Linked DNA regions of Oreochromis niloticus. The protein of the gene in region 1 interacts with the protein of each later gene in a pairwise test. Links are inferred from orthologs where the notes say so. Each region holds a gene or a part of one and is shown in the gene's direction. Other genes may lie near its edges.

Evidence for each region.
Region 2: the proteins of gopc (region 1) and fosl2 interact in a two-hybrid assay, tested with the Homo sapiens proteins (2 studies listed by BioGRID and IntAct). The two-hybrid records come from large-scale screens. The link is inferred for Oreochromis niloticus from reciprocal best matches to the Homo sapiens genes GOPC and FOSL2.

Annotation. Positions count from the first base shown.
Region 1 is NC_031980.2:28,204,024-28,207,777, forward strand, and holds the start of gopc (Golgi-associated PDZ and coiled-coil motif-containing protein), read left to right. Parts: upstream 1-1,208; 5' UTR 1,209-1,489; coding exon 1,490-1,750; intron 1,751-3,754.
Region 2 is NC_031983.2:23,201,990-23,205,743, reverse strand, and holds the start of fosl2 (fos-related antigen 2), read left to right. Parts: upstream 1-833; 5' UTR 834-1,512; coding exon 1,513-1,641; intron 1,642-3,754.

The DNA of each region.
Region 1 (3,754 bases):
TTAATATTGCTCTCAGTTACTTAATTTACAAAGTAAATTAAATCATTTGAGAAAAGACTGCTGTGTTTATTGGAATAACCACACAGGTTTCCAGCTGTTGTGAGATCAGTGTGCTTTGTTTTTGGTTGGTTTTTGATTGATTTTGAAGCTTTCCAGGTGTTCGTGTCAGCTTCGTGCTAGAAACTGGCACTGCACTAGGTTTTAATTTCAATTAATTAAAATCTATAATATTTAAATAAAAAAGACAGAATTCCTTATTTATAAAAAGGTCAAATTTGTCACATTTTCATAGGCTAATTCTGACCAATCATAACAGACCATTTCACACAGGTTGACCAGAACATTTTTAAATCATCCTCTGCTGAGCAACCTCTGAACCATGAAGAAACTTTACTTTATACTGCTGTGGATGCTGTATCTTATAACACTGGCATGATGTTTTACTGGGTCATAGTGAAACTGCATTACTCCTGCTCTTTATGAGATTATTACAGCAGAAGCGTCAGTGGGAATGAAAAAGGGATCACCTGTATTTAATGGATGTTTTTCTAACATTTCTTTTAACAGTATAAATATATTCTTTATGGCGTTATATGAGTACTGTGTTATAGTGATAATAAAGTAACTTATTGCAGCAAATAAAGTTTTCTGTTGAAAGGGATTCAGAGCTGAAAATTCCTGCTGTTTTATTTTCTCATTGAAAGTAGAGAGGAGGTTTTTATTGAGATATTCAGCAGTGAGTTTATGCCACAGATTACACTTTAGATTCCAGTGTTTGAGTGCTTGGATAATCCATATTGGGCTTCACAATCCACGACAAAAACATTACTGAGAGAGAGGGTGTTGGTTAGTGAATCCTGGTGCCCGGTGTACGCCACCTGTCGAAACTGGCCTTGGTTTTTCTAACACCTGCGCTTCAGAAGCTTCCCATCCCTACGAGCAATACAGCATAATGCTTTTTGTGCACATCCTCATCAGTTACTTAGTGAGCCAGAACTACACAACACGTGTTACTTGAACACTACACAGTAAATCATTACACTTGCAAATGTCACGAAAGCCCCGAGATTAGTAAAATTATATTGTTCATAAATAATGTTATTTATTTATTTTTACAAAATTTCTCGCATTAGAAGACTTTAATTGTGAAAGTAAGAACAGGAACAAGCTCTGCGTAAACATGTCGTATTTCCGGTACGACGTAGACAGACAGTTCCCGTAGAACACCCACAGGGCACAGTTCCACAGTAGCGGAAGGAGTAGCCGTAGCTCTCCTGTACGCCGCTTTCTGCGTAGTGGCTGCTTGGATGAAATCGTGAATCTGATGTGGGACTTCCTGGTTAGGCATTGCTTTCGGGAATTTTAAGTCTACGGACCAATACAGTGTTCATCACATTACAGCGTTATTTTAACGGTGTTGGCAGAGATTAATTTGTCATCGTTTTTTAAGTTAGCACAAAGCTAACATCAGCGTTACCTTGCTCTAACCATGTCTGCTTCGACTGGATGCTCCCCATCGGGCCAGCACTCGGGCCTTGTCCCCAGTATGTCCATGTTTCGATGGCTAGAAGTGCTGGAGAAGGAATTTGATAAGGCTTTCGTGGATGTGGATCTGTTGCTTGGAGAAATAGATCCAGATCAAGTGGATATAACGTATGAGGGTCGGCAGAAGATGACCAGCCTCAGCTCCTGTTTCGCTCAGCTCTGTCATAAAACCCAGACTGTCTTCCAGCTCAACCATAAACTAGAGGTTAGTATTTCTTCTAAGAAGAGCGGTTATGTTAGGAATCAGGTTTCTTGTTAATGAAATGATCACGCCGACTCCACTCAAGATTCAGCAGAGTGACTAATGCCACAGAGCAGCACTGGTGTTTTCAGGGCTTCAGTCACTCCTGTGTTTTGGTGTCCTCCCTGTGCTTCTCAGGTTTTATATCCATCTGTGGCACCGACCTGTAAACTGTGATCACATAGGTTAGGGCAGGGGTCTGCAACCTTTTACACCCAAAGAGCCACTTGGACCCGGTTTCCACACAAAAGAAAACACTGGGAGCCGCAAATACTTTTTGACATCTAAAATGAAGATAACACTGTATATATTGTTTTTTTCCTTTGTGTGAACAAGGTAAGGTGAGGTGAGGTAAAGTGTGCTGCTTATGAAATCCACGAAGTGCTACAGAGAAAATTACATTTTATTTATGTAATCAACACATTTTGAACTCTTAAAGAAATATAACAAAAGCAAAGACACCCAGCTGAACTAAAATGATCCATGTAGCAAACAAAAACTGTTGTGAGCCGCCTCCCTTATATCTCCTTTGGGCTGTTGGAGCCTTGACCTGACTTTTAAAAAATAATTGGTAAAAAAGCTCTATGCTGCTGAAAAATTAAAAATAGATATTTGCAAAATTCTGCCTAAATATGTATTTTACCTGGTTAATGCGTGCGGCGGGGGCGTGGTCTGCAGCGCCGCTGCAGGGGAGGCGGACGCACCTGAGCGGCACCCGCAATCACGTTTACACAGGACTGTAAGCTGTCATCTGTGGTCTGTGAGGCGTGAGCAGTGTTTGTCTTTAACATAGTTCACGGTGGAGCTGCTGACATAATGTGGATCCGAAGATCCATAATTGGCCTACCTGGGGTTGAAAGTCTCGATAAATGCACGGTGTTTCGGCGGGAATACCAGCTTCCGCGAGTGTGACGCTTATATTGAGTGAGGAAAAAATAATAGAATATAATTTTATATTTATATTTCAATATCACAATAATCTTCCAATTTAGAACTACAAATTTAAAAGAACTAACATAAATAAAATACACTTCAGCGAAATACTTCTAATTTATTTTCCCAAACCACGCGGAGCCGCACTATAAGGACTAAAGAGCCGCATGCGGCTCCGGAGCCGCGGGTTGCCGACCCCTGGGTTAGGGTATCCACAGCAGCCTTCGTTTGGTCATTGAAACCAACATAGGTGTTAGCATACTTCACATTCACTTGTCTTCTAGATACAGAACATGTTCTCAGGTGTCTTTAACCGCTTTATTAAATATCCTTTATAATTATGTACCACTAACGTTTTTTTTTAAATAAATAAATTAATTAATTTCAGCATTTTTCGATGATTACGTCATGGCCTTAAAAATGACAATGATTTTCTTTTCTTTAGATGTTATCGGGATTATGTTATGTAATGTCTCGTTTGTTTTCTCGAGTGCCCTTCATTTTTTCTGTAAATGTTAACATAAAACTAAAAACAGTATCACTGTCATTCACTTATCCGTATTGTGTCTCTAATTAATATTATTATAATAATTCAGTGTTTTTGCTTTAAGAACACGACCTGTCATTACTAATTAGACAAATCAAAAATGCTCTCACTATAAAGACATGATTAAAAGCCTGAGACATTTTCTGAACAATACAAACCTAAATGTTCATTAAAAATTGTGTTGCTTTCAGCTAATCGAAACCATAAGAGCAACAGGCTAATCCGCTCCAACACACATTATTGTTTAGGCCGTTCAAAGCTTCCATACATTTCGACAAAGTTGTCAGACTCGGTCTGTAAGTCGGCAGGCCCCAGGCTTATTTTCAATGAGAGGGGCTTTAAAGACTAAGTCAGCACCTGAACTCCTTGGCATTTCCTCAACAATGTTTGCTGTGTAATTAGGGTGTATTGTCATGTCCAAAGAAGCTTTGCCATCTGTGAATATTGTCATTATGGGCTGTATCGGTGTGTAACAATGTTTAAATAGG
Region 2 (3,754 bases), on another chromosome or scaffold:
TATATCGTGTAACGTGTCACATTCTGGGCGCTGCGCCCTTGTTTATGAGGTGCGTCCGAATTACAATTAGCCCACATTTCACCGAGATTCCTTTGAAGCCGCCGTGCTGCACTAACCGGCGGGCCACATTAATCTGACCGTCCGTGTTGTGTGCCACCTCTCTCCAAATTAGGCACAATGCGGCGGCGCCAAAGCGCACAAAGGTTTAATTGTGCAGAAACGCCGCGTGTCCAATCGCCGAGTGTGTTTATGAGCAGCAAATGAAAACTGGTGGACATGAAATAGTTACACCCACCATGACACCCCCTCCTCTCTGTCTTTATTTGATTTATCGAATTTTCAGGCTGTGCACAGCTACAGATATGGATTTCATTTTGAAGCTGAAAAACTTTCAATAAATGATTTTACTGCGCAGCACTCGCTCCCGGTGTGTGCGGGTGCACGCGTGTCCGTGCAAGTCGCTTTAGCTTTAAGTTTCTAAGCTTTAATGTGTCGGTTTTCCATCACTGCTGGGTGGCCGAACCTGGACCGGCGAGCTCTGAGCTCCGAGTCCGGACCACAGCGCGCGAGGGGAGGGAATCCCTCCAGTGTCTGACGCTTCCTTTACCAAGGAAACCCACACGCGCTCGCTGACGCAACTGCCCATTTTAGGAAACATGCGTCAATGGACCCAAGCAAGTCAGACAAATAGTGAACTCCGCGGCAGCACTGACGTCCGTAACAAAAAATAAACCCCTCCACACATGTTCTGGACCACTTTTACCAAATCCCAGCTTTTCGGTTTTCTCCCTGCTGTCCGCAGGGCGCAGGATGGTGATAACGGATCTTTTCTTTTTCACTGCCTTTTGGAGAGACAACCCCTCCCTGCTGAAGTCGCAACGCCCATGCGTGACGTAGGCTCTTTCGTTGGTGTTGAAAAGCCGTTGCAGTTCTTCATAGTGCCATTGAAGTGAGTCATCTCTAGGAAGTGTGGTAAAAAGGAAAAGAAAAAAAAAGTTCGAAGTGTTCCGTGAGCAGCAGAGAGAGCTCAGAGGAGTGTAGCTGGCAAGGCGACGGAAAATATTGAGAAGAGTAGAGAGGCAATAGGCTTTAAAGCGAATGTTAACCTGTGTGAGTCACTCTAACTACATGTTTGATTGTCGCTGCTGGATCTGACTGCTGAAGGTGTGCTGCTGACTTTAAGCTGAAGTTTGCGCACCTGAGAGGATCTTTAGCAGCGTAGTGTAGGTTTACCTGCGGCTCCAGGAAAAAAAAACAAAACAAGAAATAGACTCTACAAGCAGGAATAATACACAAGAAAAAAAACGATTTGTATTATAAGTAAAATGTTTTAGGTTAGTTTACAGGAGCAAAATTGCACTTTTGTTTTTTTCTCCTTCTTTGGAAATTAACGACTTCTCGAATCAGAGGATTTTTTTTTTCCTGTTGGTGCCTTTTTTGCATCGGGGATTTAAAAAAAAAAAGGCTCTCAGAGCTCAAACAGTGCACTGAAATCTTCCTCTTTCCTGGATCATGTACCAGGACTACTCCGGGAACTACGACACCTCGTCCCGCGGCAGCAGCACCTCTCCGGCCCAGCCAGAGTCCTTCACAAGCGGCAGCAGCACGATCGGAAGTCCGATCTCTACCTCAAGCTACCAGGTAACAGAAGGAAAGGACTGGCTGCAGATTAATCTATTAATGAATGCATTCTGGATAACATGAAAGTGTCAGTTCGTTCTTGTGCAAAGTCCAATTTTTAGAAAATTATTCCATCGTGTTGCTACTTCCAGCCATTAACTGAATTTAAACAGGAATTTTCCGGGTCGCCTGGAGACACAAATCCGAATGAACCCAGTGACACGGTTCGTATCAGTGACTCAACAGGGGCAGTAGTCAATCTGTGCATAGGCGCAGTCTGATAATATTACAATAATTTTGCTTTTGAAATATTTAGACACTGATTATTTTATCTAATGTTAAATTTCTCCATTAGTGCGCACCGCAGCTGGCGACAATGCGCAAGTTTGCGTAAATTTATGGTACAATTGTCTTATCCCAACAATTTAAAAAAAAAAAAAAAAAAAAAAAAAAAAAGACATACAGGGTGGTTTGTGCACTGTTGCAGGGAAATTTGGCACACTGGAATGAATCCGAGTCTGTGATTTACAGATGTTAAATTCCCCTTTCTTTCTGCCAAATTCACTGTGCGTTTGTAAAACAGGAACATTTCTGGGGTTTTTGCCAATTTTCTCACAGAGACGAATGCGTGTAAAGCAAATGCACACCTGAGCTTTTTACACTTTTCATGCTGCGGTAATGATAAACTAGCTAGAGATGAAGCTCATGGTGGATGCAACAGGCATTTCGTGTTGGGCTGTGAGATGTCTGATTTCAATATTCCATATGTGTTGCTGCAGAATTTGACCCAAGTTCCGTTTAAGTGTCCACATGTTTTTATTCCACATGGAATCAGAGTCTAATTCGACCAGGCGGGTCTCGGGCTGCACATGCCACATTTTCTCCAGCTGGAAGCGCGCTCTGACTGGGAGCGCAGGGCAATCAAAAGCCCGTTCTTCCTCGCTGTGTTCACGGTAGTAATTGTAGAGATACATCTAAAACACCAAAATCTCATAAGGTTACGCTTTTACATAGTCTGAGTGAGACTTTAGACACAGTTGAGGTGTGCCAGTGTAATGCCGTGAAGACGCGGTATCTCAAAAATACGAGGATATAAATCCGGGAACAGGCATGTTGTTTACCCCCACACCCTCTGCCGTGCAATTCTGTGGAAAAGCCTCCTCAGGCTCACGCAACATTACGGTAAAAGACTTTTGGACAGTGTGTATCATTGCTCTGGTTCCCTGTAATCACACGCTGGCTGCCTGTTTCCCATTACAGGGTTGGAACATGAACTCTTCGCTAGTTTATGGAGACATATGAAAACGACCCCCCTCCCCCCGCGTGTTTTTGCAAGACCAGTATCATTTTAATCAGACTTGTTTGGCTCTAATGTCATGATTCCACTGAATGTCCTTTGTAGGCAGTTATTCATTTCCTGGTTTATATGTATTGTAAATTCCAGTGCTCTTATTCTGAAGCCAATCTGGCCCAAAAATTCCACTCGCATAATTCTGGATAATATGTCTGGCTTGTTACAGCTGGCTGCTTCCCCCCTTACTGGAACTGACCGCGTTTCACATGTGCTCGACAAATGCAATACACAATGACTCACCAGATAAACAAAGTTGCAAGAGACTGCCGGGATATCCGACGGAAAGTCGGGAATAACGGGGATGTGGGGACGTGCGTAATTTACGCACACAGGCTGGCATTCCTCCTTTTTGATACCAGAAACAATGATCTAACATCACTTCTCATGTTGATGTGTTTGTACAAGACCTTGTTGCACAAATGTATATAGGCACGATATGTAAAATGTTTGTCTGTATGAGAGTCTGAACAAAAATCTACCATTCTGGAACACATTATATCTTGAGATGTTCTCACATCTCTTTTTTTTTTTTTCCACTATTCCCCCCCCCCCAATTGTATGTTTGTTTGTTTTTTTTTAAACAATCTTCTGTGAAATAAATTTAATAAAGTTTATTCCATTAAAAATATAATTTTACATTTCCCATCTGCCCCGTCAAATCAGAAGTGAACTTAAGAAGACGTGAAATGGCTCTCTAGTGCACTGTTATGTCTCATTGTAGTAAAAATGAGATGCAGTGGACACCTTGGGCTTTCCCACATGAATCACTGCATGTGTCAC